Stegostoma tigrinum: one gene and its partners. The protein of the gene in region 1 binds, or shares a complex with, the protein of each later gene. Links are inferred from orthologs where the notes say so. Each region holds a gene or a part of one and is shown on either strand. Other genes may lie near its edges.

Region 1 (7,750 bases):
TTAAATAAGTACAAGGACTCTGTTGCCACAGCTCTCTGTGGCAAGGACTTCCAAAGACTCTCAATGCTCTACAAGAATAAATTCTTCCTCATCCCAATCTTAAATTGGCACCCCTTTATTCTGAGAATGTGCCCTCTGGGCTTAGACTCTGCCACGATGGTAAACATCCTCTCAACACTGGATTCTCAAGGGGCTTGACACTGTCAATGTGTTTAGCGAGGGAGGATCAGGACCTGAAGGATGTTCTGTCTCACACACAGTGGGAAACACGTGGCAACATGAGTGAACAGCAGAGTAAAAACTCAACATTCGTTTCAGAAAAGTTTGCATCCTACGTGGGGCAGGAGGCTGTCTCTGCAGGAATGCACAATGACAAGGGGCTCAATATCCTTAATGACCGACACTGTTCCACTTTGATGCCTCTCAGCACAATATAAAACAGTTACACCACAGAAAGAGGCCATTCAGCCTACGCATTCTGTACAAGAAGAACTCAAGGTGGTAATCCAATCCGCAGTTCTTTCGGTTTTCACTCATTTCAGACTCGTTCCCAATTTTTACCAACTCTCTCAAATCCCCCTGTCGATCTTTTCTCTGACCCATTGACATAACTCATCTCGTGAATCTTTACTGCATCCTCTCAAACAGCTCTGCCTGAAGTGTGGTGCCCAGAACTGCACACTATACTCGCAGCGAGGTCAAACCGACCTTCCAGAAGGGCCCGTCACACATTTCTTGACTTTGTACACAATGCGTCTGCAACAGAATCCCTCGTGCCTTCTTAATGCCACATTTTCAACTTGCTATGCCACTTTCAAGGGTCACAGAGATCCACAGCACAGAAAGGGGCTCTTCAGCTCATCCCACTGCCTATAGGTTCTGTAAACACATGCAGGTATCCCCTGGCCTCTGTGTTCCTGCACCCGACTCCCACTACCCAATTAGAATCACATTCTTTCTATTATTTTGCCAGCCTTCATTCTTACTTCCAAACAATAGGTTTTGCTGAGACTTCCTGCTCTCCTTGTTCTGGTTTCACCACTCCAGCCTCCTCCCTCCAGTCTTCATCCGCATGTTAATGACTGCATTGTTCTCTGTTTGCTGCTTACACCCCTGCACTGGAAAATATCATCAACTTCTAAACCACCCCCTCAACTTCAACATGGTTCATCTTCAACACTTCCCTTCCCCTGTGTCTCTATTTCTGAGACTGATTGCTGACTAACATTCATTGTAAGACCACTAACTCCCACACTGACCTGGTTATACTCCCCTCCACTGCAAAGACTGCATTCTCACAGACTGTTTGTCTGTGAGAGCGAGCCCGAGTTTCCCTCCCACCTGCCCGCCCCTCCCTCCCAAATGACCAACCCCCATCCCAAATCCTTACGTACACTGGCTCCATCCCCACTTCCTTGACCTGTCTGTCTCCTCTCCACCTATCTGCTCCTCTATCCACCTTCCATCATCACTTCCTCCTCCCGCTATTTATTTCAGAGTCCCCTCCCCCTCCCCCATTTCTGAAAAAGATGCAGCTTGGCCTGCTGTTTTCATCCAGCTCCACACTGTTATCTCAGATTCTCCAGCATCTGCAGTTCCCATTATCTCTCTCTCCACACCCTAATCGTCAGCTTTCCTGCTTCTCTGATGCTGCCTGTCCTGCTGTGTTCATACAGCTCCACACCTTGTTATCTCAGACTCCAGCATCAGCAGTTCGTACTATCCCAGAGATTCCTGTGGCTATTTTAGTTCTCCACCTTACTCTCAAACTGACATCCCTGCCCTGCTGCCAGCCAATGTTCCACTCTGCAAATTGGCACATTACAGTCTTCCACATTCAACATGGATTTCAACAATCCTGGAATGTAAATCCTGTCTCTCTCTCCCCGCTGTTTTCTTTCCAGGCATCAGCCTTGCTCCGCACTCCACTCGATTTGATTCCTGAAGACAACTGTCCATGATTCTCTTTACTGTCCCATTATCACCCTCTTCGGCTCTGAGCAACTGAAAGATGGGTCACTTAGTGTTTCCTGTCTTACGTCCCATGACATTCCACCCAGCCCCTCATTTAAAACTTGCTTCTTGTGTCCTAGCTCTGATCAAACACTTAACTGTGACGTTAAACACCACACACACACACACACACACACACACACCAACTGAGTAGCTTCTCTCTCCACAGATGCTTCCAGACCTGCTGAGCACGTCTTGATTCCACTTCTCAGACCTTCCACTGTTTTTTTTGGCTTACAACAGCATGCTTGTGGTCCTCTGCAATATTCCCAACCCCCCCTTCCACTTGCATTGTCTGAGCCACAAGACCCAGCTGATCCAGTTAGTTATGTGGGTCAAACAGCATTTCTGAAGATTTAAAATTCCCCTCGGATTCTGACCGTGCCTTTTGCTGTGAAAGAATCTGTCTCAAAAGTGTATATATATATAAAAAAAAACGAAACGCAGGATTTCACCAGAGGACGACCACTCTGAGCTCAGTCTACAAGGTGGGCATGCGTCTGCAGATAATCACTGGGATTTTTAGCAATGCATTTGGGGGAAGAAAAAAAAAGAGGTTTTCGCAATTAATATTTAATCAACGGGGGAGGGGGGGGGTCACTTTGAAAATGGGGCTTCTGAAGAGGATGGAAGTTGCAATGATTTTCAATGAATGTTGCAGGCCTGGCTTACAGCGTGAGTCATCAGCAAAACACAGCAGCTCAGAAAGGTCAAAGAGGTGGCGGATACAAAACCCAGAATCACCAGAAACGGAATAAAAAATAATGCATTTTGAAAAGGAGCAGGATGCATGCCCACAAAAAACCTGCGGCCGCCCCGGTCTACAACACGAGGCCTGCACGCTGAAGGGGGGGGGGCGGGGGGAACATCCCCGCTGCCAGTCAGCAGCCCGGGGCCAAACTCTCGCCGGTCCCGACCAGCGATCGCTCACCTGCACCATGATGGCCAGCCGCAGCGAGTCCTTGGCGATACTTTCGCCGCATTTCTTGCACGACGCCCGCCCGCTCTTCGCATACTCCGCCTTGAAGAGCTTCTCGTCGGCCATGGCGACGCAGCAGCTGCACGGCCCCGCCTGCAGGAGGCAGCAGCGGGCACCCCACTCCCAGCGAGCGCGGGAAAGGGGCGGGGCCCTGCGGGGGCGGGACTGACACGGGAGGGGCGGGGATACGGGGGAAGGGGTACGTGGGCACAATGTGATTGACAGGGCACGGGGGCACAGTGTGATTGACAGGGGCACGTGGGCACAGGGTGATTGACAGGGCCACGTGGGCACAGTGTGATTGACAGGGACACGTGGGCACAGTGTGATTGACAGGGCACGGGGGCACAGTGTGATTGACAGGGACACGGGGGCACAGTGTGATTGACAGGGACACGGGGTGATTGACAGGGGCATGTGGGCACAGTGTGATTGACAGGGCACGGGGGCACAGTGTGATTGACAGGGACACGGGGGCACAGTGTGATTGACAGGGCACGGGGTGATTGACAGGGGCATGTGGGCACAGTGTGATTGACAGGGCACGGGGGCACAGTGTGATTGACAGGGACACGGGGGCACAGTGTGATTGACAGGGGCACGTGGGCACAGGGTGATTGACAGGGCACAGGGTGATTGACAGGGCACAGTGTGATTGACAGGGCACGGGGCACAGGGTGATTGACAGGGGCACGGGGGCACAGTGTGATTGACAGGGCACGGGGCACAGGGTGATTGACAGGGCCACATGGGCACAGTGTGATTGACAGGGGCACGTGGGCACAGGGTGATTGACAGGGCACAGGGTGATTGACAGGGCCACGTGGGCACAGTGTGATTGACAGGGACACAGGGGCACAGTGTGATTGACAGGGCATGGGGCACAGGGTGATTGACAGGGCCACGTGGGCACAGTGTGATTGACAGGGGCACGTGGGCACAGGGTGATTGACAGGGGCACAGGGGTGCAGTGTGATTGACAGGGACACGGGGGCACAGTGTGATTGACAGGGCACGTGGGCACAGTGTGATTGTTATGGGCACAGGGTGATTGTCAGGAGCACATGGGCACAGTGTGATTGACAGGGCACATAATGACTGACAGACACATGGGCACATAATGATTGACGTGGGCACAGTGTGATTGACAGGGACACGTGGGCACAGTATCATTGACAGGGACACGGGGGCACAGTGTGATTGTTAGGGGCACATGGGCACAGTGTGATTGACAGTGGCACGTGGGCACAGTGTGATTGACAGGGACATGTGGGCACAGTATGATTGACAGGGACACGGGGGCACAGTGTGATTGTTAGGGGCACATGGGCACAGTGTGATTGACAGTGGCACGTGGGCACAGTGTGATTGACAGGGACATGTGGGCACAGTGTGATTGACAGGGACACGGGAGCGCAGTGTGATTGACAGGGACACGGGGGCACGGTGTGATTGACAGGGGCACGTGGGCACAGTGTGATTGACGGGGCACGGGGGCACAGTGTGATTCTCAGGGACACGTGGGCACAGTGTGATTGACAGGGGCATGTGGGCACAGTGTGATTGACAGGGCACGTGGGCACAGTGTGATTGACAGGGCACGGGGGCACAGTGTGATTGACAGGGGCATGTGGGCACAGTGTGATTGACAGGGCACGGGGCACAGGGTGATTGACAGGGATACGTGGGCACAGGGTGATTAACAGGGCACGGGGCACAGGGTGATTGACAGGGCCACGTGGGCACAGGGTGATTGACAGGGGCATGTGGGCACAGGGTGATTGACAGGGCCACGTGGGCACAGGGTGATTGACAGGAGCATGTGGGCACAGGGTGATTGATAGGGCACATGGGCACAGTGTGATTGACTGGGGCACAGTGTGATTGACAGGGGCACGTGGGCACAGTGTGATTGACAGGGACACGGGGGCACAGTGTGATTGACAGGGCACGGGGCACAGGGTGATTGACAGGGCCACGTGGGCACAGTGTGATTGACAGGGGCACGTGGGTGCAGTGTGATTGACAGGGGCACGTGGGCACAGTGTGATTGACGGGCATGGGGGCACAGGGTGATTGACAGGGATACGTGGGCACAGTGTGATTGACAGGGACATGTGGGCACAGGGTGATTGACAGGGGCATGTGGGCACAGGGTGATTGACAGTGATACGTGGGCACAGTGTGATTGACAGGGACACGGGGGCACAGTGTGATTGACAGGGCACGGGGGCACAGTGTGATTCTCAGGGGCACGTGGGCACTGTGTGATTGACAGGGCACGTGGGCATAGGGTGATTGTCAGGGGCACGTGGGCATGGTGTGATTGTTATGGGCACAGGGTGATTGTCAGGAGCACATGGGCACAGTGTGATTGACAGGGCACATAATGACTGACAGACACATGGGCACATAATGATTGACGTGGGCACAGTGTGATTGACAGGGACACGGGGGCACAGTGTGATTGTTAGGGGCACATGGGCACAGTGTGATTGACAGTGGCACGTGGGCACAGTGTGATTGACAGGGACATGTGGGCACTGTGTGATTCTCAGGGGCACGTGGGCACAGTGTGATTGACAGGGGCACGGGGGCGCAGTGTGATTGACAGGGACACGGGGGCACGGTGTGATTGACAGGGCACGGGGCACAGTGTGATTGACGGGGCATGGGGGCACAGTGTGATTGTCAGGGGCACGTGGGCACAGTGTGATTGTTATGGGCACATGGGCACAGTGTGATTGACAGGGCACATAATGACTGACAGAGATACATGGGCACATAATGATTGACGTGGCCACAGTGTGATTGACAGGGACACGTGGGCACAGTGTGATTGACAGGGGCACGTGGGCACAGTGTGATTGTTAGGGGCACATGGGCACAGTGTGATTGACAGGGACACATGGGCACAGTGTGATTGTTATGGGCACATGGGCACAGTGTGATTGACAGGGGCACATGGGCACAGTGTGATTGACAGTGACACATGGGCACAGTGTGATTGACAGGGGCACATGGGCATGCTGTGATTGACAGGGACATGTGGGCATGCTGTGATTGACAGGGACACGTGGGCACGGTGTGATTGTCAGTGGCACGTGGGCACAGTGTGATTGACAGGGGCACGGGGGTACAGTGTGATTCTCAGGGGCACGTGGGCACGGTGTGATTGGCAGGGCACATGGGCACTGTGTGATTGACATGGCACGAGGGCACAGTGTGATTGTTATGGGCACAGGGTGATTGTCAGGGGCACATGGGCACAGTGTGATTGACAGGGACACGTGGGCACATAATGACTGACAGAGACACTTGGGCACATAATGATTGATGTGGGCACAGTGTGATTGACAGGGACACGTGGGCACAGTGTGATTGTCAGGGGCACATGGGCACAGTGTGATTGACAGGGACACGTGGGCACAGTGTGATTGACAGGGACATATGGGCACAGTGTGATTGACAGGGGCACGTGGGTACAGGGTGATTGACAGGGACACGTGGGCACAGTGTGATTGACGGGGCGCATGGGCACAGTGTGATTGACAGGGGCACGTGGGCACAGTGTGATTGACAGGGGCACGTGGGCACGGTGTGATTGACAGTGACACATGGGCACAGTGTGATTGACAGGGACATGTGGGCACAGTGTGATTGACAGGGACATGTGGGCACAGTGTGATTTACGGGGCACATGGGCACAGTGTGATTGACAGGGGCATGTGGGCACAGTGTGATTGACAGGGGCACGGGGGCACGGTGTGATTGACAGTGACACATGGGCACGGTGTGATTGACAGGGACACATGGGCACAGTGTGATTGTCAGGGGCACATGGGCACAGTGTGATTGACAGGGACACGTGGGCATAGTGTGTTTGTCAGGGGTACATGGGCACAGTGTGATTGTCAGGGGCACATGGGCACAGTGCGATTGACAGGGGCACGTGGGCACTGTGTGATTGTCAGGGGTACATGGGCACAGTGTGATTGTCAGGGGCACATGGGCACAGTGTGATTGACGGGGCACGTGGGCACAGTGCGATTGACAGGGCCACATGGGCACAGTGTGATTGATGGGGCATGTGGGCACAGTGTGATTGACAGGGCACGTGGGCACGGTGTGATTGACAGAGGCTCGTGGGCAGTGTGATTGATAGGGATACGTGGGCACAGTGTGATTGTCAGGGGCACATGGGCACTCTTCTCGAAATGCCCACCTTCAAGAAATTGTCCTCCTCCCTCCGGAAAGATCTCAGTGGACCTCCCTCCCACTGCAACCCTCTGGGCACTCAGTTATCGCCATCCCACCTACCTTTCCCAGCCCCACCCCTCCTATCTTTATTTATTTCAGAGCCCCCTCCCCCGCCCCCATGTCTGAAGAAGAGTCCTGACCAAAACGTCAGCCTTCCTGCTCCTCTGATGCTGCCTGGCCTGCTGTGTTCCTCCAGGTGCACAATGTGTTGTCTCTGTACCCGGCATCTGCAGTTCTTGTTATCTCTGAATCAGACCAAGTTGGGGTGGTCAAACATGGACCAAGCGGTCTATATCCATGCTGCACTTCTCTATGACACTAAGAAGATAATTTGCAGAGTGACAAATAGAGATAGAGTAACAAACTGCTCAGAAATTTTTTTTTACTTTTTCACTCACTGACCGGAGAGGGAGGGAGATCTTCTCTCCTTCCTGTGGTGAATGTTTCTGCTGTGTTGTCTGAACACGAAACTGTAGCATCTCACCCGGAACTAATCTA
Region 2 (7,070 bases), on another chromosome or scaffold:
GAAAGTGCAATTCTTTTGTAGGACATGATGAACACCAGCAAAGGCACCTCCCCTGCCAATCCCTGGGCCCTATCCGAGAAGGAAAAAGAGATAATCTCACAACTGCAAAGGTCTGAGAGAGGTTCCCGTCAACGTCCTCACAAGGTTTCTCACACTCACTCCGTCAGTGCAGCTTGTCGGTCTTTGTTAAAACAGACCACTGGATCTTTAACCCGACCTCCTGTGGGAAGATCCACACAGGATTAGCTGGGCACCCTTCAGGATGTGTGCCAGAAGATGGTGGGTACCCTTCTTCAGGAGAAAGCACCATTCTCTCGTCAACAGGACATAGAGCAAAACGAGTCACAGTGACGCTAGATTTCCCCAGGAGATACCACGGTGATAAAGAGCTGCTCAATTCCAAAAGCAAATGTTTCACTGCTGATCCATTTTTTGTTTTTTGGTTATTGGGATGTGGGTGTCACTTATTGGGCCAGTATTTATTACCCATCCCTAATTACCACAGGGCATTAAGAATCAAGCACATTTCTGTGGGCCTGGAATCATGTGAAGCTGAGACCAGGAAAAGACAACAATTTCCTCCTCTGAAGGGCAGGGGTGAATCAGAGGGGTTTTAACTACCATTGACAATGATGTCACAGGACCCAGGAAGCCTGGGTTCAAATCCCACCTGCTCCAGAGGTGTGTAATACATCTATGAGCTAGAGGACTTCGGTGAACCGGGAAAGATTCAAAAGGGACTTGAGGGGCAACGTTTTCATGCAGAGCGTGGTGTGTGTATAGAATGAGCTGCCAGAGGAGGTGATGGAGGCTGGTCCATTTACAGCATTTAAACAGCATCGATGGGATCTGAATAGGAAGAGTTTAGCGGATTATGAGCCAAATGCTGGCAAATGGGACTAAATTAGTTTAGAATATCCTGTTGGCATGGATGTGTTGGACAGAAGAGTCTGTCTGCATGCTGTGCATCTCTGTACAGGTTGATTAGAAAGACATCCTTTATTTAGAGATTTTCATTGAATTCGAAAATTCATCATCAGCCATTGGTGGGATTCAAATCCATGTGGCCTAGAATGTTGGTTTTGGGTTCTAGATTTCTCTTCCAGTGACATTCATAGATGTTTGATTACTCTAGGTCAGGTCAGCACAAGGAGGGGGAATGTGTTGGGTATTCTAAAAGGCATTAGGGTGGACGAGTCCCCAGGTCCAGATGGGATCTATCCCAAGTTACTGAGGGAAGCGGGAGAGAATATAGTTGGATATCTTTGCATCCTTGAGCACAGGTGAGGTCCCGGAGGACTGGAGAATTGCTAATGTTGTCCCCTTGTTTAAGAAGGGTAGCAAGGATAATCCAGGCAATTGTAGACCGGTGAGCCTAACGTCAGTGGTGGGGAAACTGCTGGAGAAGATACTGAGGGATAGAATCTATTCCCATTTGGAAGAAAATGGGCTTATTAGTGGTAGGCAGCATGGTTATGTGCAGGGAAGGTCATGTCTTACCAACTTGATAGAATTCTTTGAGGAAGTGACAAAGTTGATAGATATGTGAAGGGCTTCATTAAGGCATTTGATAAGGTTCCCCGTGGTAGGCTGATGGAGAAAGTGAAGTCGCATGGGGTCCATGCTGTACTAGCTAGATGGATAGAGAACTGACTGGGCAACAGGAGACAGAGAAGTTTCTCAAAATGGAGAACTGTGTCCAGTGGTGTTCCACAGGGATCCATGTTGGGACCAACATTGTGTGTGATATACGTAAATGATCTGGAGAAAGGTATAGTTAGTCTGATTAGCAAGTTTGCAGATGACACTAAGATTGGTGGAGTAGCAGGTAGTGAAGGGGACTGTTGGAGAATGCAGCAAAATATAATCAGATTGGAGAGTTGGGCAGAGAAATAGCAGATGGAGTTCAATCCAGGCAAATACGACTCCCCTCTCCACCTATCTTCTTTTCTCTCCATCTTCGGTCCGCCTCCCCCTCTCTCCCTATTTATTCCAGAACCCTCACCCCATCCCCCTCTCTGATGAAGGGTCTAGGCCTGAAACGTCAGCTTTTGTGCTCCTGAGATGCTGCTGGGCCTGCTGTGTTCATCCAGCCTCACATTTTATTATCTTAAATACGAGGTGATGCATTTTGGAAGATCCAATTCAAGAGCAAACGATACAGTAAATGGAAAAGCCCTGGGGAAAATTGACGGGCAAAGAGATCTGGGTGTTCAGGTCCATTGTTCCCTGAAGGTGGCAATGCAGGTCAATAGGGCATACAGCATGCTTACATTCATCAGACAGGATATTGAGTACAAGAGTTGGCAGGTCATGTTACAGTTGTATAGGACTTTGGGTCAGCCACATTTGGAATACTGCATACAGTTCTGGTCGCCACATTACCATAAGGATGTGGATGCTTTGGAGAGGGTGCAGAGGAGGTTCACCAAGATGTTGCCTGGTATGGACGGCGCTAGCTATAAAGAAAGGTTGAGTAAATTAGGATTATTTTCATTAGAAAGTCAGAGATTGAGGGGGGACCTGATTGAGGTCTACAAAATCATGAGGGGTATAGACAGGGTGGATGGCAAGAAGCTTTTTCCCAGAGTGGGGGACTCAATTACTAGGGGTCATGAGTTCAAAGTGAGAGGAGGGAAGTTTAAGGGAGATATGCGTGGGAAGTTCTTTACTCAGAGGGTGGTGGGTGCCTGGAACACGTTGCCAGCAGAGGTGGTAGATGGAGACACAATACTGTAATTAGATTAGATTCCCTACAGTGTGGAAACAGGCCCTTCGGCCCAACAAGTCCACACCGCCCCTTGGAGCATCCCACCCAGACCCATCCTCCTATAACACACACACCCATGAACACTACGGGCAATTTAGCATGGCCGATTCACCTAGCCTGCACATCTTTGGACTGTGGGAGGAAACCGGAGCACCCGGAGAAAACCCACGCAGACACAGGAAGAATGTGCAAACTCCACACAGACAGTTAACCGAGGCTGGAATCGAACCCGGTTCCCTGGCGCTGTGAGACTGCAGAGCCAACCACTGAGCCACAGTGCCGCCCAACATCTTTTAGGATGTATCTGGACAGGTACATGGATGGGCAGGGAGCAAAGGGATACAGATCCTTGGAAAATAGGCAACAGGTTTACACGGAAGATCTGGATCGGTGTAGGTTTGAAGGGCCTGTTCCTGTGCTGTAATTTTCTTTGTTCTTTCATTCCCACTACACCAGCAGCTCCCCAGGCAAGAATGGAACTTCATTCCCAGTTTGTCTGTGGCTCATACCAAATCTGAGACAGGAAGATGCCTCAGTAAACGGCAGAGGGGAGCTGACTGCGTCCCTCAGGCGGAGTCGATCAGTTGACTGACTGTGCCCCTGTGGCAGAGGAGAGGAGCTGACTGTGTCCCTCTGGCGGAGGCGGAGATCTGCACCTCCCAGTCGCAAACCATTTCCACTCCCCCTCCCATTCTTTAGATGACATGTCCATCATGGGCCTCCTGCAGTGCCACAATGATGCCACCTGAAGGTTGCAGGAACAGCAGCTCATATTCCGCTTGGGAACTCTACAGCCCAATGGTATCAATGTGGACTTCACCAGTTTCAAAATCTCCCCTTCCCCTACTGCATCCCAAAACCAGCCCAGTTCGTCCCCTCCCCCCACTGCACCACACAACCAGCCCAGCTCTTCCCCTCCACCCACTGCATCCCAAAACCAGTCCAACCTGTCTCTGCCTCCCTAACCTGTTCTTCCTCTCACCCATCCCTTCCTCCCACCCCAAGCCGCACCTCCATCTCCTACCTACTAACCTCATCCCACCTCCTTGACCTGTCCATCTTTCCTGGACTGACCTATCCCCTCCCTACCTCCCCACCTATACTCTCCTCTCCACCTATCTTCTTTACTCTCCATCTTCGGTCCGCCTCCCCCTCTCTCCCTATTTATTCCAGTTCCCTCTCCCCATCCCCCTCTCTGATGAAGGGTCTAGGCCCGAAACGTCAGCTTTTGTGCTCCTGAGATGCTGCTGGGCCTGCTGTGTTCATCCAGCCTCACATTTTATTAACTGACTATGTCCCTCTGGTGGAGGTGGCTGATTGACTGACTTTGTCCCTCTGGTGGAGGGGGGAGCTGACTGTGTCCCTGTCACGGAGGACGGCAGCTGAATGTTTCCCTCTGGCGGAGGCGGTCAGTTGTCTGACTGTGTACCTAGGCGGAGGAGAGGAGCTGACTGTGGCCCTGTGTCGGAGGCGGGGAATTGATTGACTGTGTCCCTCTGGCGGAGGCAGGCCGTTGACTGACTGCGGCCCTGTGGCGGAGGCGGAGAGGTGACCGTGTCCCAGTGGCGGAGGCGGGGAGCTGACTGGTTTGGGGGTGTGTTCAGTGTGTCTCCGTCTTTATTCTGCCGCCCGGGTAAAGTCGCGTTTGCTGAATATGGCGGGACGCGGGAAGAGGAAGGCTGCATTCAGAAGCTCCGAGGTAAATGGATGAGGATAGTCTGGTGAATACGGGATTGTTTTCAGCGTGATACACTGTAGCTCCGGAAGTAACAATGTGTCCCAGGGATTAAAGAGCAGCAACATTGTTTCACTAAATGTTACTAACAATGTCTTTACTAAAGTGTTAGTAAGTCTCTCATTGCAAAGATATTAGATGCGACAATGGAGCAGATTCTTTGCTCCAGTGCTGTTTTGGATTAAGTGAGGCATTGACCCCATAAGCCTTACCTGCACCATTTATTTTCAGATAAATGTGTGATATTTTTGACAAAAGGAAAGGTATTGAGTGTCTCGCCTATATCAGAGGGAAGGGTGGAACAAGACTTCTGTCAACTAAAATGACGACAAAGAACTGCGGGAGTTGGAAACAAACAAAACCAGCCTCAACACAGCTGGTCTGGCAGCATCTGTGGAGAGAGAGAAAACAAGAGTTAACGTTTTGAGTCACTTCTGTCAATTGTATGTTTCTGTGAAAGGCCACGTGTTTTTTCAGTATTTTTTTACAAAATATGTGCAGAAACCTCCACTACCCAGGATACAGGGAGTAGACTTATGGGGAACTATTAAAAACAGCAAATTCCCCTCCAAATCACCAGCAACAAAGGTGAAAACGTTATACAGTGTCTCTTTTGTTCATTTGTTATTCAGCACAATGTGGGCACCACTGACAGGAACAGCATTTGTTGACCATTCCTAATTGCCCTTGAACTGAGTGACCTACTAGACCATCTCAAAAGGCAGGGTTAGAAAATAAAAGAATGAGAGGTGACCTTATTGAAACATTCAAGATTCTCAGGGACTTGGCAGTATAAGCGCAGAAAGATTGTTCTCCCATATGAGAGAGGCTTGGGCCAGAGGGCATCTGTAAGTGATCCCACTTATTGACTGTAGTTTTGCCTTTGATGCCACAATTCCAAACAAACTAATCCCCAAACTCTTAGAGAACTAGGTCTCTGCTTCCCCCCTCTGTAACTGACTCCATCTACACTTCCTGCTGCCTCGGGAGCTGTTTTAGTGTTTTGGGAATGTTGCAGTGTTTACTGTTTGAATTATTTCAGTTTTCTTTGTGATTCATTTACCTCAGTCTAAGAACCCGGTAGCTGAAGATGGTAAGAAGAACCGAGGAGAGAATTCCAGCATTCCTGAGGAACTGCGACAAGAAGTTCGGGATCTCTACAAGCTACAGATGCCAGAAGATTTTTATCACTTCTGGGAATTCTGTGAGAAGCAAGATCCAGAGAATCCATGCGGTACGCAACCCCTGACCCCGTCTCGATTAGTGTTCTCAATGCAGAAACCAGTCAGGCATCTGTGGCTAGATGAGTGGGAGAGGTTTAGGGAGAGAAGATCTCCTGAAGATCCCCCTTCCCACTTGCTCCAGTACTTGTACCCTTAAAAACCATCAGCCCAGTCCTAATTCATGAAGTTCCTTATGGCCTGGTTTGGTTGAGAAGAGAAGTAGTTATCTGTGGTACACATGGAGTCAGAGGTTAGCCATGTGGATACCGGCCCTACAGCCCATCTTGCCCATGCCACACAGTTTCCACAATTAATCTAGTCCCATTTGCCTGCATTTGGTCCATATCCCTCCATACTTATCCCATCCATGTACCTGCCCTCTGGACTCTTTTGTTTTTAGTCTCTCCCCTCTGACCTTAAACTGTGGAGGCCATTCTACCCCTGATGTCTGTGCTGGATCTTTGGAAAAGTGATTTTGCTTATTCCCATACCCCAACCTTGACCCTGTAGGTTCCTCATCCTCCAGCATCTGTCCATCTTCCTTCAAAGATCGTGAAGTAGCAGAATTCTATCTCTGCAGAAGCTGCCAGACCTGCAGAGCTTTTCCAGCAATTTCTATTTTAGAACATAGAACATAGAACAGTACAGCACAGAACAGGCCCTTCAGCCCACAATGTTGTGCCGACCATTGATCCTCATGTATGCACCCTCAAATTTCTGTGACCATATACATGTCCAGCAGTCTCTTAAATGACCCCAATGACCTTGCTTCCACAACTGCTGCTGGCAACGCATTCCATGCTCTCACAACTCTCTGCGTAAAGAACCTGCCTCTGACATCCCCTCTATACTTTCCACCAACCAGCTTAAAACTATGACCCCTCGTGCTAGCCATTTCTGCCCTGGGAAATAGTCTCTGGCTATCAACTCTATCTATGCCTCTCATTATCTTGTATACCTCAATTAGGTCCCCTCTCCTCCTCCTTTTCTCCAATGAAGAGAGACCGAGCTCAGTCAACCTCTCTTCATAAGATAAGCCCTCCAGTCCAGGCAGCATCCTGGTAAACCTCCTCTGAACCCTCTCCAAAGCATCCACATCTTTCCTATAATAGGGCGCCCAGAACTGGACGCAGTATTCCAAGTGCGGTCTAACCAAAGTTTTATAGAGCTGCAACAAGATCTCACGACTCTTAAACTCAATCCCCCTGTTAATGAAAGCCAAAACACCATATGCTTTCTTAACAACCCTGTCCACTTGGGTGGCCATTTTAAGGGATCTATGTATCTGCACACCAAGATCCCTCTGTTCCTCCACGCTGCCAAGAATCCTATCCTTAATCCT
Region 3 (7,647 bases), on another chromosome or scaffold:
GCAGATTTTTCCCTAAAGGACATCGGTGAACAAATCAAAAATGATTTCATAGTTTTCATTGTCCTAGTTTGTTTGTTTAATTTCAGTCCTTTTAAAATTAATTGGCAGGATTTGAACTCTGGATTACTGGTCCAATGACAATACTACTGTGTCACCAGTTTCCCCCTAAGTTTATGGATGATGACTGCCAGAAAACCCTGTCAATTGTGAGATACAGCTTTCATATAGTTTTAAGAATCAGGTCTCAGGATTTAAAGCATGACTAAGAGTACAGGCTTGAAACAACTCACCTAAACAATCAGGCTCTTTGTGATAGTTGTCCACTTCCAGGTATCCCAAGGCACTGCATGTTGCTAATAGTTCACAGTTCATCATGTTCAGACGCACACAGTGCACTCTTCAAAAGCAGTCGAGACATAGGACAAACAAAGGAAGGGCGGGGGGGTGGGGGGGGGGGGTGGTGGTGTGGGTAAAAGAAGAGAGAGAGAGAGCGAGAAAAAAGGGTGTAATTGCTCCAGTTGTAAAACAGAGTGTGGAAGAATTATTTTGTCATCTGCTTAAAAGTACACTGCAAATGAAGTGATGTTATAAAAGGATGGAAGATACAAATCAAATAGATACATCGGTGCAAAAAAAGGACAAAAAGTTGTGCTACTCCCACACTCCTACCATTGCACATTTCAATGGTCATCAATCTATATGATAACTCCATTTCTGTTTAAAATACAACCACACTTGCCAAGTGCTGCTTGCATTTGCTGTCCAGTTTCAGGTAATAGCAGAAAATAGCAAAATGGTTGCTAAGAATTTCTGGTCTTAATCATGCTGCTGTGGAATATAGAAAAATACAGTGCCGCCACCACTGACATTACTAGAGACATGGCAAAACAGGATGCTGGACAAGTGACCCATCAGTTTCTTGAGACTAACAGGATTGGCAAAAGTTGCCTAGTGCATCCTTGAAAAGAGGGACTGGTAGACATCTTGAGGTCTTATGAACATACGAATGGGGAGTAGGCCATTTGGCCCTTCAAGCCTGCACTGCCATTCAACATGATCATGGTTGGTCTGATTTTGTCCTCAACTCCACCTTCCTGTCAAACATGCTAACTTTTAACTCCCTTGTTAGTCTTAATAGTATTCATAGACTCTGCCTCCACTACTGAGGAAGAGTACTTCAAAGACCCCAAAGGGTGGCTCAGTCCTTAGCATGGCTACCTCACATTGCCAGGGACACTGGTATAATTCCAACCTTCAGTGACTGAGTGAATGGAGTTTGCACATTCTCCCTGTGTCTGCATGAGGATGCTCTGGTTTCCTCCCACAGTCCAAAGTCATGCGGGTTAGTTGGAGTGGCTATATTAAATTACCCATAATGTCCAGGGATGTGTAGATAAGCCATGGAAAATGCAGAGTTACAGGAATAAGGTGGGATGCTCTCCAGAGAGTCAGTGTGGACTTGAAGAGCCTTGCTCCTACACTAAGGATTCCAAGGCTCTCAGCCCTCAGAGGAAAACAAATCTCATCTCTTCTTGTGGAGTTAAAAATACATTTCCCATCCCAAAGAAAAAGCAAGCCCAACCCCAGGAGGTCAGCAGGATGACTGGAGTTTCAATCTTTTCCATTCCACTTGTGATCAATTGGTAATACCTTTAATATTTTTTTTATTGTTATTGTACCTAAGGCCCACATTCCCCTGCCATTGATGCCAAATGTAACACTCCAAATTTCTAAAATTAGATCAGAAGAATTGTCATAAGCCACACAATACCAGGTTATAGTCCAACAGGTTTATGTAAAATTGCAAACTTTCGGAGCGCTCCTCCTTCGTCAGGTAAAGTGGAGGGAAGCACACAGTCAAAGAATTTATAGGCAGAGATCGTTGCAAGATAATTCTAGGTAATTAAAATTTGAACCTGGAACCATTTAGTGCAATACCAAGCAACACAATTATTTATTGGACCTTCAAGTAAATGTCTCATGAGCTAATTTAACAGAACATCCTCCCTCTCTCTATTATCCTCAACAGTCCTACTGTAGTTTGAGGACGATTGGCAGTGCAAACTGTATTGGGTAAGGCTTGAAAAGTTGTATTGTTGTCTACAGTAAAGTTAGGAAGTGCACAAGATTTAAAAGGGGAAAAAAGCAATTTTTTATGGAGAGTGTTACTGATGTGACAGCACCAGTGACAACACTTCCCATACAAAGCAGGGGAACCTATGACATCAAAGACCTACATTTTTGTGCATCTTGTAAATGGTTGTTGAGTCCGCTAAAAAATGTGGAGAAAGCAAGTCTTAATTTTCAATTATATGTGAAAGAGAGTTAGCAACATGGAGAAACATAAATATGGGGCAGAAGTGCTTGGAAGTTTCACTTAAACTGTAGAAGCATTTTCCAACGTAAATGACATCTTCCCCCAAACCCAGAGCCCTTCATTCATCGGAGTGTCAGAAAGAAATGTCAGCTGATTTCTACGGACACGCTGAGCTTTCCATAATTTAAGATTTCAATGGATTAGCGAGATTCAGGCTCGAAATTTGTTTTAAAGTCATGCAGCCATATAAAACACAAAATCGAGTAAAATGAGGTACTGCTTCAATAAGAAAAATATGGGACGGACGGAAGGGGGAGGGGGAAGGAATAGATGATGGTCAAGAGATCAAATTGGCTAAAAGAACTTCGGATCCAAAAAGGAATATTTGTGGATACGTTTACAACCCGACACCGACAAATCGCAATGGTGAATTTGCCGGTACAGGCACGATCAAGCAGAATGACCTCCGTCTGCTCCAAAATCATCCCGTTTTTGACTGAAAAGATTTAAATTGGGGGGAACCGAACGATTTGAAACGGAGGAATAAAAGAGACAAGCTCACCTTAGGTTTTGCAAGCCAATTTCCAAGTGCTTATGACTGAAATGCTTGAAATATTTCAACTCGATTGTCCTTCTAAAATCTGAACATTCCGCGCTCCAAGAATTCCCGCCAACCCCGGAACCGCCCAACTGGGAGGCGGCAGGGGGGTGAAGACCTGAGAAACAAACAAAAAGCAGAAATATGCAACCTGCGAACACACAAGAAAAAGTATTATTAGTATTTGTTCTTTAAAATATTATCCTTTCCTTGGTAAATTTTAGAGAGGGCTGCGTACTAAATGTAACAGATATGTGTCTTGATTCAGGCCACCCCTCTCGAGGCGCATTTAAAACAGTCCAGGCGGAGAACTGCAACGCTAAATTAACTTTGTGTCAGATATTCCGGATTTCCCCGAATAGGTGATCGTCAGAGAACGTTTTACTATACGCGATTTCAGAACAAAGCATATTAGAACAGTAGAATAACACTGTCTCGTCCGAATAACTGTGAGCCCACTCCAATCTTGTATTAAAACCCCTTTAAATTGCTTTAGTATGAGTCACGGTGGCCGAGTGGTTAAGGCGTTGGACTCGAAATCCAATGGGGTCTCCCCGCACAGGTTCGAATCCTGTTCGTGACGATATACTTTTCCCCCCCCCGGGAAAGGGAAATACAACCGCCAGGAATTTGACGTTCACGTTTTGCTTCTGGGAACGTTCACTTGTCACACAGCAGTCCCGACATACAGGCATACCAAAGTAGAAACTGCACATCTTGCACACTTTGTAAAATTCACTCAATAAAACCATGAAAGAAAACTGCTAAAAAGCTTATTACCTATTGCATTAAAAATCACAAGTTCTGTTCACGATGAATTAAATGATCTTTTGGTTACCCATTGAACAGAAGCCTTTAATTTTAAAAGTGTTTCAGCTTTTCTTCCATGAAAGATCCATTTCCTCGATTGTTAAGTGTTCAAATCGTTTTGTTTACATCATACTCCAGGTTGTCAGGAGGACAGCTCCTACACTTAGAGTGTGATGTCACCCCAAGAAACTTTGAAAAACATTCATGGAACTAATTGCCATAACAGGTAGAAGGATCACTGCACCTAACATTGTTTCATATTTTTCTACATTTCATGCAACAATGCACGAGAGGTCCATTTCATTCCACCAGCTTGGGTCAACATTAACCCACCACATGAACCAAACACAATTATATAACATTTCCATATCCTTTTCAACCTTTTTGCCTTCATACACCCATCAAGTCTAATCTGAAATACTGGCATTGTTTCTGCCTTAACCACTATCCTAATTCAACATGACTCTTCTTCAGAATAGTTCCAAAGAACAGTCATACCCAATTCAAAACTAACTTTTTCCTCCCACAGATGCTGGCAAACCTGCTGAGTCTGTTCAGAATTTTTTTTAAATTTCAGATTTCCAGTATCTGTGGTTTTTTGCTTTTATGACTGCAAATTAATTCCAGTCTCACAACTGTATGCACAAAAAGTTCCTCCTGCCCTTCATTTAAAATCTTTAAAAAAAATTCAATGGTATCAGTGAACATCCTAGGATTTTGAATGAAGTGGATGCAAAGAAAATGATTATATGGTTAGGATTTTCCAAACTATACTGGTTTCTAAAATGATTCTAGCAAATCAGAAGTTGGCAAAATGTAACTGCTCTTTGAGAAAGGCAAGAGAGAGATAGAGAGAGAAATACTGGCCAGTTATCCTGAAGTCAGTCATCAGTAAAACGCTGGAATCTATTGTTGAGGAAGTCTTAACACATTTAGAAAATTGTAGCATGACCAGTTGGATCAAAATTGTTTTATGAAAAAGAAGTCATATTTGAACATTTATTGAAGTCTTTTGAAGTTGTATGTTATAAAGGTACATAACAGAGAGTCAGAAGATAGAACATACTTGAATAAAGGTGCTGCAGAAAAAGTCAACATGCAAGATAAGAGCTCATGGAGATCAAGGTAATAGATTAGCATGAAGAGCATCAGTTGACAGACAGGAAGCAGAAAATAGGGATTAAACAGGGCATTTTCAAGTTGGCAGCTACATGTAGAATTAGTGGAATTCCGCAAATGTAATATCAGTGATGCAGCCTCAACTATTTACAATTTATATTAATGTCTTAGACAAAGAGACAAACTAATACGACTAAATTTTCTTACAGTAGAAAGCTAGGTCAGGAGGAGTGCGGTGAAGACACCAACACTGTGGAAAGATTAAGTAATTGGGCAACAAGGGTGGGGGGGGGGGGGGAAATAGATCAAGATTAATGTGGGGGTAAGTGTAATTTTGTTCACTTTAGTATTCAGTATAGAAGATGTTTTAAAAATAGGTGTGATTTTAAATGTTAATGTTCAGAGATAGGTGTGCATGTACAAACGAACACAAAATTAGTAGGCAGGTACAAGAATAAAAAGTCACTTTGCCACAATTGTATTGGGCTTTGGAGAGAACACATCTGGAGTACCTTATAATAGTTACAATGCAGGAGGCCAATCAGTATTGTCTGCACAGGCTCTCCACAGGAACACTTTACCTGGTATCACTCCCCAATCTTATCCCCATTGCTGAGCACATGGGGGTGACAGCGTTGTCCCATAAGAGGCTGAGTAAATTGGGCCTATGCTGTCTAGAGTTTAGAAGAATGAACGTCAATAGCACTGAAACAGAGAGATTCTGGAGAGACTTGAGAGTTGACACTGATTGTTTCTGTTGGTTGGGGAAAATGGGCTACACTCACAATATGAATTAATTGTTTAATCTGGGATGAGAAGACATTTCTTCTTTCAAAAGGTTGTGAATCAATGGAAGTGTCCATTGCAGAGCTCAATTGTTGGGTATATTCAAGCGGAAGTAGACAGATTTTGACCTCTCAGGCAACCTAATGATATGGAAAACTGACAGGAAATTAGTTGAGACAGGTGGTTCGTCAGGATCTTACTGACTAGTAAAGCGGGCTAAAGTGCCATTTGACCTATACCCCCTTTGACCTATACCCCCACTCCTATTTCTTACATTCTATGACACTCAGTATCTGATGTCCTATTTACCGCACAGTATTAACAACCCACCTGCTTCTATTTGCCTTGGCCTATTATTTTACATCTATTACATTGGAAGGGTGAAAAGTGCAACAATAATTTGAATTTATATAGCATTGTTAAAATAGTAAAAACAAAATGACTCACCAGGAGTGATGAAACAAAATTTGACACCGAGTCACATAGATTAGGTTCAGGCAACCAAAAACTTCAAAGTGCTAGGTTTTACAAAGTACCCTGGAGGAAGAGGAGGAGTAAACCTCAGCCCGAGAATGGCAACCCCTCTTGTATTTTACCCCAACTGCCCATTCTTTATGTATGAACGTACTGATGGTATGTCACCCGAAAAGAACATCACAATCAAATCCAATTTGGTCCTCACCAAACATCTGCACACATCAATGTTTGCTAGCAAAGGTGGGTAGCAATAAACATCAGGACAACTTTAGCTGATATTTACTCCATCTTTACCCAAAGATACTGAAGTCCGATGTAGCCACACAGCTCCCTAAATCTCAGTTGTGCGTTTAGCCACTGGGTCATTCCAGTATTCACCTTCTCACGTCAATAATTTGCATTTAATTATATTGGGGTGCAATGTAAATGTTCCAAGGTACTCCACAGGGACATGAGACAAAATTTAACCCGAGCCACCAAAGTCAGTATGAGGAACAAGTAACCATAAGCTTAAATCAAGAATGTAGCCTTTAAAGGAGCATCTTAAAAAGGGATGAATGAAAGAAAGCAAGACACAAGAGATTTGGGGAAGGAATTCCAAAACCTGCTCCGTCAGCTGCCTATGATGTGGATATTAAAATTGTGGATGCTGAAGAGTCCAAAATTGGACCAGAGCAAAGATCTTGAGATGGTTTTAGGGGCTGGAGAAGGTGACAGGGAAGGGTGTTGACAGGGAAGGGTGTAGGTGGCGGTGACATATAAGGAGGGATGGGGGAGATTACAGAGATAGGAGGTCGTAGGAGATAATAATAGTCATAGTCATAAAAGTTGTACAGCTTTAAATAGACCCTTCAGCCAAAGCTGTCCACACTGACAATACATTCAAATCTGACCTAGTCCCATTTGCCAGCATTTGGCCCATATCCCTCAACACTTTTTATTCATATACCTATCGAGATGCCTTTTAAATGTTGCAATTGTAATGACTTTCACCAGTTCCTCTGGCAGCTTGTTCCATACATGCTCCACCCCCTGTGTGAAGAAGTTACCCATTAGGTTCTTTTCAAATCTTTCCCCTCTCATCTTAAACCTATGCCCCTCTAGTTTTGGAATCCCCTACACCTGGGGGGAGAATGACATTGACTATTCACCCTATCCATGCCCCTCATCATTTTATAAACCCACTACCAGATTACCCCTCAGCCTCCTGCAATACAGGGAAAGAAGCCCCAGCTTATTTAATGTCTCCCTGTAACTCAAACCCTTCAGTCCTAGTTTCAGAAATAGGGAATTATAGGATGTTAGAGATGGAGTGTGTTTTGGGGGTGGGGGGTGGGGGGTGGGGAAGAGCAGGTGCTCACCATAAAAGTGATTCATGAACAAGGAGAATCTTTTGAAAAACAAAAAAAAATGTTGGGCAGTAAGCAGCGTGATGATAGACACACCGGATCAGTGAGAGTTAGGACGCAGGACTTTTCTGATGAAGTGTCACTGGACCCAAAACATTAACTCTGATTTCTTTCCACAGACGCTGCCAGAC
Region 4 (7,859 bases), on another chromosome or scaffold:
CAGAAAATATTTTCCGAAACGGCAGCCTTCCTACTCCTCTGATGCTGCTTGGCCTGTTGTGTTGATCCAGCTCCACATCTTGTTATCTCAGATTCTCCAGCATCAGCAGTTCCTACTATCTCTGCTATAGTTCCCTGGATGAGTAAAGACAGAACTTTAAACGAAGGCTGGGGGAGGAGACGCGGACTACAAATTTCAGTTGAATTATTTAATAACAACTAAACCGAATGTATAAAGAACAGAAGAGATGACGTGATGGAGGTAGTGGAGAGAAGGTACTGGGACAGATTTATAGGCAATGTAAAAATGAACTCCCAAAAGACTTTGATTCCACTTTATCAATTACATGTTTTGGGGAAAGAGTCAGATCAATTATGTACAATTCTTCTGCAGGCAGAGGGTATGGCAGCAGTATTAAAGTGAACATGTTGTATCTGTTTTGCACTGCAGATGAAGCTGCCAATGTAATAACAAAAAGGAGATATGGAGAAACTGGATAGATAAAGTGGAGGCATCTAAAATGTCATCCCCAAAGAAGAAAAGTCATCTGTCTGGATGGATAGCACAAGATGTCTGAGGAAAGTTCTCGCCACAAACCAAAATCTTTTAATAAGGAGAAAAGGCCAGAGGTTTGCAAAATTGTGCTCTCATATTCAAAGCAAAGCAAAGCAGAGTGTAAACACTGCTATTATAGGCCAGTCAATCCAGTGTTAGTAGTGGAAGCCGTTTTAGATATAGAATTGAAGACAAAAATAAACTTTTGCTTGAAAATATATGGTTCAATAGCGCCAGCCAGCATGGGTTTGTTAAATGCAGTCAATCTAATCAAACATGTTCTTTGAAAAACGTACTATGAGAAATCCTGAGGGTTCTGAGGTTGATATTGTGCTTTGGATTTTCAACAGGTGTTTGAAGAAGTAACACACAATAAGCTTATTAGAAAAATGAAATGCAAGGGATTAAATGAGCTGTGACAACCGGGACATAAAACTGACTATGGGAAAGCAGATTGGTAAATCATTTTTTCTTGTGGTGCAGTGGTAGTGTGGGCTAGGAGGCTCAGATTCAAGTTCCACTTGCTCGAGGAGCATACTAACTAACATATCTGAGCAGGTTGATTAGAAAAACAGTTTAAAATTTAAAAGCAAAAATTAAAAATGCGAGGAATTGAGTGAGTAGATGTCAGTGTGACTATACTTTCATACATAGATATGTGCAAATGGCGCATACACAGTTTCAAACTTGGTGGATGATGTGTAACTCAAACAGTGGGAAGATACTAGCTGAGTAAAGGAGGCTATACTAGTGAAACGAGCAAACATGACAGATACTTTTTACTTCTCTGTTAAGTTGCAAGACATATTATTAAGAAGAATGGGGTTGTTAAAAAAGCACAGGAGATTATAGGCTTTATAAACAGAAGTGTAGATTACAAAAAAAAAGTTCTGTTTAATTTTCATTTAAGAAAGAAACAGTGGTGCTGAACCAGTTTCAGATCACCACATTCTCGACTGAATAATGTCACCTTGGAGAAAAGGCAGAAGACATACTAGAATAGTACCAGAGTTGCAGAAATGCAGTTACCGGGCACATGAGAGAAGCTGTTTCCCTTAAAGCAGAGCCATTCAACGGGAGATTTAATGAAAGTATTCTCAACTATAAAGGGATGTAGAGTAAATTAAGTGAAGTGTCAGTAACAACACAGCAGAGATCTTAAATTTAACAGCAAAAATGAAAAATCAAAAAAGGGTGGCATAAACAGTATTTAAGAAAAAGCTTTAAATGCATTGCTTGAAAGGATGTTGGAAGCAGATTCAACGGTAACTTCCAAAATGGAATTACATCAATCTCCAAGGGAGAATATTGCACAGTTCTAGAGAAATACAGGCAAATTGAGCTAATTTAAAAGCTCTTTCAAAGAGCTGGCATGGGCACAATGGACCAAAAGACCTCCTCTGTGCTGTAGCAATCCTTTGTTAGTATACCCATGGGCTTGCTTACTTTCTTTATCTGATTCAATGTCAACAGTAGTTGGGGCAAAAAAAACAAAAAAACCAAGCTTTAATACAACTACAACAAAAAAAAACTTGCATGTACAAAATGGCTGCACCAATATGGGATTAGGCTCCTGCCACCAGAGGGCAACACATAAAAAGCTTGTCCAGCTAACATCAATAGTAGAAAATCCATAGAATCAGGACTATTCAGCCCATCCTGCCTGCACGTGCCAGATCTTGCAATGTTTCACTCCCTGCTCTTTCCTCACGGTCCTGCAAATTTTTTGCATTTCACATATTAAACCAACTCTCTTGAAAATTACTATTCAAACTAACCACTAATACTAGTGCATTCCAGATCTGAACATCTCAAATTCTCATTTCTGATCTGGTTACTTTAAACCCATATCTGCTGGTCACCACCTGCCGCTGCAAACGTTTTGACTATGGAAATCCCTCTTGAACTCAGGCAACCCAAGATCCTCATTTCTCACAAATATCCAGAATTACAACTGCAGTTCCCCTTCAAATAAAGCATTTAAATTGGCTGCAAAAGTTTTAAAACCTTTATTATATCATTCTTTTCACACCCAGATTCTCTCCAAGTTTTCAACCTCAAATGAACCCTCAGATTCCACACCAGTTGCAGAATCTATGAGGAAAACCTGTTTAGTTCTGGTTAAGAACTCACAATAAAAAAAAATGTTCCAAGCAACGCGAGGAACTCAGTACTGATTCCACACTGAGTCGCACCCAGATGAAAGCGCTGCAGTAGTGGGATCGTGCCGGCTATTCAGGCAGGCGAAAAAAAACAATGCTCACAGTCGAGAAGCTGCAGCGCAAGAGGCTTCATTACAACCCACATACCGAGCGAAGCAGAGTTCGCAGTGATTGCCCCGTTCGTTGACAGTCAGGACATGAGTGTAGGCTGGGCATGTGAAGAGTAGCTCTCCGATCGCAAACTCTTTGCGAGCCTGCAGTCCCCGTCCTTTACCCTCGCTCAGGAACCTCTCCATAGGACCCAGCAGCAGCGGCCCAGGCCTTCCTCTGAGCCCGACCCGGCTTCACTGTGTTCCGCAGAGATCAAGCTCCATAGCCGGCAACACTCACTCGCACCACTCCGTCCGGCAGCAGCTACTTAAATGGAATCGGCTGAGCGCTCCCTCCTCATTGCTGCAGTCATGGGTTGTCTGCTTCCCTACTCCTCCCGGGTCCAAGCGCTCGCCTCATTCCAACAAGCCGTTCCCTCCTGGTAACCCTCAGGGGAATTTACACAAACTCTTATTCTGAGAAATTCCAACCCTAGGTTTTGTTTTTAATCGGTGCAGTTTTTGAGTATTAAAAGGAACGAAGTGAGCTGTGTCGAAAACAACTATGTGTATTTTTTTTTAATCAATAAAAAAAACTGAGAAATTCCAAAGGTAGTAGGAACTGCCGATGCTGGAGAATCTGAGATAGCAACATGTGCAGCTGGATGAAACACAGCAGGCCAAGCAGCATCAGAGGAGCAGGACAGCTGACGTTTGAGGTCTAGGCCCTTCATTTTCTGAAGAAGGGTCCACACCCGAAACGTCAGCTTTCCTGCTCCTCTGATGCTTGGCCTGCTGTGTACATTCAGCTCTGCGCCTTGTATTCAGAGAAATTCAAAACCTAGTTTTAAAATCGGGGCAGTTTTGGTGAGTAAAAGAAACAAAGTGAGCTGTATTAAAAAACAAGTATGTGTACATTTAACAGTTTTTAAAACAATAAGAAATGTATTAGCGTTCATCCGGTCCGGCAGTATCCCCAAGATCACGCTGTTCAATTTTATTCTGTTGGTGTTGTTTGGGGGTGGGGGTACTGGTTGCATTTGTTTTACACCTTCCATAAACCACATCCCAACGTGCTTTACAGCCAATGAAGTGTTTTGGAAGTATAGTGCCTGGGGTAAAGTAGGAAATGCAGCAGCCATTTTATGCACAGCAAACTCTGACTTGAGACCTCCACCAGAATCATCTGCTTCTGTAATGTAGGGATAAGTATTGACCAGAATAGCAAGGTGAATTTCCCTGTCCTTTTTCAAAACAGAGCCATGGGATATTTTACATGTACCTAAGGGTTCAGTTTGGGCCATATCTCATTCAAAAAACAAATTCTGCCACAACACTTCTTACAAGCAGTAAATTACTTTTTTTACAAAAAAGGGAGCATCATAAAAAATTTGCTTCTTTGAGATGAAGACAGTAGAAGTTTTTCAACACGTTGAGAGTATTTTAAATTTCCAATGCTTAGGTCATGCAATTGGACTAAAACCCACAATTTGTCTACACTAAAGAAAGATTACTGTTTAATTTTGTTAACTGATCACACCTGGATCAGCAGGTGTTATGCCACAATTAATGTTAACAGTCCAGTGAGTTTTTCTGCCTGTGGATAATCAGACCTGGATAATGTCCAGCTCTTGTTGCAGATGGACATGAACTGCTTCAGCATATCAGGAGTTGTAAATAGTATTGAACTTTGTGGAATCATCAGCAAACATCCCCACTTCTGACCTTATGATGGGGGAAGGTCATTGATGGAGCAGCTGAAGATGGTTGTGCTTAGGACACTACTCTGAGGAACTCTTTCAATTATGTCCATGATATTGACATGCACATCCCATGAATACATATTAAAAACTGGTAAATTGTTCCAAATAGTTTCTATCAAAAGTAATTTTCATTATACTTAATACCATGTCACTCACAGATGGCACTCTTGACACTCTGATTAAAATTGTTAGCTTTTTGTGATAAACTTGTTTTCAGCTGCACAAATAAAATGTAACTAGATTGCCTTCTTTAAATATATCAAGGACTACAATAAATGCAAACAAAATAATGCCATAAAATGCTACCTAATTGGACTGAGTCATGGGAGATTTTGTATTTGGCAATAAGCAAACAAGTTTGGATGGAAATTTGAATGGAAATAAGCTCCTGAAAATGTGTGCAATTGTGAGTACAATTTGTGGCTCAGACAGCAATTGTGTTCAATGTAAAAAACATTCAAGATAAGTATTTATTAATGCCCATACATCAGAATTTTAATGAGCCTCATAAATTACACTCCCTTCATTTCAGGAGGCCCTGTAAATTTGTATGTTATGTTCAATTTAAACCTCTGTGAAAATTTTACCCAAATTAACTTTATTTTAATATTATAGATTGCCTCTCTGCTGGAAGCTACAAACAAGCACTGGCATGTGCCTGAATTAAACCTGTACGTTGTTGCACTGGAGCTGGTTTCCAGATGATCATAGCCCCTGCATTTAAGTCAAAATCACTCATGTATACCACAAACAGCAAGGGCCTCAGCACTGCAGAATTCCTCTGGGAACACAAATACAATTGCAGAAACATCACCCTCTGTTTCCTGCCTCACACCAAATTTCAGATCCAATTTTGCCTTAGTTTGCCTTGGATCCCATGACTTTTACTTTCTTATACAATTTGCCAGTTCAAAAACCACATCAAAAATGCCTTATCAAAAGCCTTACTAATGTCCAAGAAGACCACATAAAATGCATTACCATAATGCATGGATCTATCACTTTGCCTTAAATCCCAAGCGGTATTAGTTACTTGTCACTCTGTTGTTCTGAGGAAGGGGCACTGGACCTGAAACATTAACTCTATTTTCTCCTCCACAGATGCTGCCAGACCTGCTGAGCTTTTCCAGCAACTTTGTTTTTGTTCCTGATTTACCACATCTGCAGTTCTTTTGGTTTTTATTTGGTATTAGTTAACTTGTCTCTCTGCTGTGAGGGACCGTATCAAAAGCCTTTCTAAAGTACAAGAAAACCATGTCAAATGCACTGCTCTTATCAACACTCCTGGTTACCTCCTACAAACATTTTGTCGATCTGTCAAACATGACCCCTTAACAAATCCTTGCTGACTATCCCTGATTAATCCATGCCTCTCCAAGTTTGAATATTCTGTCCCTCAAAGTTCTTTCTCATAATTCCTCCACCACTGACGTTGGACTGACTGGCCTGTAATTTCCTGGTCTATCCTGTCCAGCCTTTGTTTTTATTTAATCTGACAATGTTAGCAGTCCTCTGATCCTCTGGCATCGACCTGTGGTCAGAAAGGATTTGAAAATTACTGTCAGAACCCTGATATCCTTTCTCTTGTCTCCTGGGACACATCTAAACAAGGACTGTCGATTTATCCACTTTTAAGATTGCTAAACCCATTAGTGCTTCCTCTGTATCTTATTTTGGGTATTTTATTTTACAATTTCACAGTCCTCCATTTTGATATCTATACCTGCATTATCCTTTTCCACTGCGATGACTGACACAAAATAATCATTGAGGATTGTGTCCACATCTTTTTGGGTCATCACATTACCTTTATGGTCCCCAATGGGTCCTACTGTTTCACTAGATTTTCTCTTGCCCTCTCTATATGTTAAAAAAACCTTAATGGGCTTTCCTGTATTCTACTTTTGTCGTGCGCTCTCCTAGCTGATCTATTTTCCTTTTAAAGTTCCCAACTGCATTTCATATACTCCTTTAGGCTTTCTGCTGTATTGAACCCTTGGTATCTGCCTTAAGCTGCAGTATAGGTATGTAATCTAATTAGAGTCATAAACAGCAAGGAAACAGACCCTTCGGTCCAGCTCATCCATGCTGACCAAATATCCTAAAAAATCTAGGCCCACTTTCCAGCATTTGAGTGATATTTCTCCAAACCATTCCTTTTCATATACCCATCCAGATGCCTTTTAAATGTTGTAATTGTACCAGCCCACATCACTTCCTCTGGCAGTTCGTTCCATACATACACCACCCTCTGCGTGAAAAGTTGTCCCTTAGGTCCCTTTTAAATACTTCCCCTCACATCTTAAACCTTTGTCCAATAGTTTTGGCACCCTGGGGAAAAGACCTTGTCTATTTACCCTATCCATGCCCCCGAACTTGACCACTGTTTATTATGCCAGGCTGTACAAAATGACTTAGTGTCTTTCCACGGACCCATGTGTTCATGGGGAAATCCCAAACCAAATGCCTTGTTCCATTTCCAGTTTGGACAACTGTCTGCACGCTGGCTGATCATGCTGTTGTCACATTTTCTCCCTTCTTTCCAACAGAATGTCACGTCCATGTGGTTCACATGGTGAGATTGTGGGAACGCTGCACCATTTGGATCTGTTACCTAAACATGAAGACTACTGTTAAGGTTGAGCCATTGCCTGAAGGACTGGCATATGAATTTAACATAGATATCTGAAAATCCTGACTAAATTGCTTGATGTTTGATGACCATGGATTTCGTAGCACAGAAAATGTGTTCTGTTAGACTCTTCCAACCAGGGAGAGAAGATATAACAAGGCATTCAAATATTTGGAAAGCTCAAATGTCATGAAGCAAAGATTATTTCTTTCACTGACATCAGATCATTACAAAGATAAATGGAAATTAATGATAAATAAGAAACATATGTATATTGAAGAAAACCTTTGAATCACTTAGACTACAGATTACTTTGTCTATTTGCACTCCTACTTTTCCCATAGGCCTACTTTCCAACAATAACCTGTTTCCCAGAGAGAGGACATTTCACTGTTTTCGCTGCCATCCCTCACTGTCACCACCTACTGGTTGGAGGGCCTGTTGAACTGCGCAGCTCCCTTGCTCATTGTATCGCAGATCATGGGAACTGCAGATGCTGGAGGATCCTAAGTAACAAAGTGTGGGGCTGGATGAACACAGCAGGCCAAGCAGCGTCTTAGGAGCACAAAAGCTGACGTTTCGGGCCTAGACCCTTCATCAGAAAGGGGGCATGGGGAGAGGGTTCTGAAATAAATAGGGAGAGAGGGGGCGGAGAGAA

The links.
Region 2: the proteins of parp1 (region 1) and histone PARylation factor 1 are in contact, whole or in part, in a crystal structure (PDB 6M3I), measured with the Homo sapiens proteins. The link is inferred for Stegostoma tigrinum from reciprocal best matches to the Homo sapiens genes PARP1 and HPF1. Residues at the interface, in NP_001609.2 of Homo sapiens: Thr825, His826, Asn827, Ala828, Arg865, Met890, Lys903, Asn906, Tyr907, His909, Ser911, Gln912, Gly913, His934, Lys953, Ser983, Leu984, Leu985, Tyr986, Glu988, Thr1011, Ser1012, Leu1013, Trp1014; in NP_060337.2 of Homo sapiens: Asn234, Val236, Asp261, Arg264, Leu265, Phe268, Gln272, Glu273, Thr276, Phe277, Gln279, Phe280, Asn282, Asp283, Glu284, Cys285, Tyr287, Tyr304, Lys307, Val308, Gln311, Leu315, Leu319.
Region 3: the proteins of parp1 (region 1) and timeless are in contact, whole or in part, in a crystal structure (PDB 4XHU), measured with the Homo sapiens proteins. The link is inferred for Stegostoma tigrinum from reciprocal best matches to the Homo sapiens genes PARP1 and TIMELESS. Residues at the interface, in NP_001609.2 of Homo sapiens: Gln846, Lys849, Pro850, Phe851, Leu854, Arg878, Ile879, Ala880, Pro882, Asn928, Lys940, Lys943, Gly944, His946, Tyr992, Asp993, Ile994, Ala995, Gln996; in NP_003911.2 of Homo sapiens: Asp1036, Gln1040, Pro1043, Val1045, Pro1046, Leu1047, Thr1048, Glu1049, Glu1052, Glu1053, Glu1056, Ser1074, Gly1075, Gln1076, Glu1077, Thr1078, Phe1079, Arg1081.
Region 4: the proteins of parp1 (region 1) and smyd2a are in contact, whole or in part, in a crystal structure (PDB 9CKC), measured with the Homo sapiens proteins. The link is inferred for Stegostoma tigrinum from reciprocal best matches to the Homo sapiens genes PARP1 and SMYD2. Residues at the interface, in NP_001609.2 of Homo sapiens: Thr526, Leu527, Lys528, Gly529, Gly530, Ala531; in NP_064582.2 of Homo sapiens: Thr105, Leu108, Val179, Asn180, Cys181, Asn182, Gly183, Phe184, Thr185, Glu187, Leu191, Ser196, Ala203, Met205, Tyr240, Ile241, Asp242, Ser257, Tyr258, Asn380.

The regions. Positions count from the first base shown.
Region 1 is NC_081357.1:10,326,783-10,334,532, reverse strand, and holds the start of parp1 (poly [ADP-ribose] polymerase 1), read right to left. Parts: upstream 3,091-7,750; 5' UTR 3,059-3,090; coding exon 2,945-3,058; intron 1-2,944. UniProt on the Homo sapiens protein: Poly-ADP-ribosyltransferase that mediates poly-ADP-ribosylation of proteins and plays a key role in DNA repair.
Region 2 is NC_081356.1:127,097,637-127,104,706, forward strand, and holds the start of histone PARylation factor 1, read left to right. Parts: upstream 1-3,970; 5' UTR 3,971-4,424; coding exon 4,425-4,469; intron 4,470-5,573; coding exon 5,574-5,739; intron 5,740-7,070. UniProt on the Homo sapiens protein: Cofactor for serine ADP-ribosylation that confers serine specificity on PARP1 and PARP2 and plays a key role in DNA damage response.
Region 3 is NC_081404.1:19,204,500-19,212,146, forward strand, and holds the start of timeless (protein timeless homolog), read right to left. Parts: upstream 3,025-7,647; 5' UTR 2,880-3,024; intron 398-2,879; 5' UTR 376-397; coding exon 291-375; intron 1-290. UniProt on the Homo sapiens protein: Plays an important role in the control of DNA replication, maintenance of replication fork stability, maintenance of genome stability throughout normal DNA replication, DNA repair and in the regulation of the circadian clock.
Region 4 is NC_081362.1:56,733,248-56,741,106, reverse strand, and holds the start of smyd2a (N-lysine methyltransferase SMYD2-A), read right to left. Parts: upstream 3,229-7,859; 5' UTR 3,014-3,228; coding exon 2,865-3,013; intron 1-2,864. UniProt on the Homo sapiens protein: Protein-lysine N-methyltransferase that methylates both histones and non-histone proteins, including p53/TP53 and RB1. Specifically trimethylates histone H3 'Lys-4' (H3K4me3) in vivo. The activity requires interaction with HSP90alpha.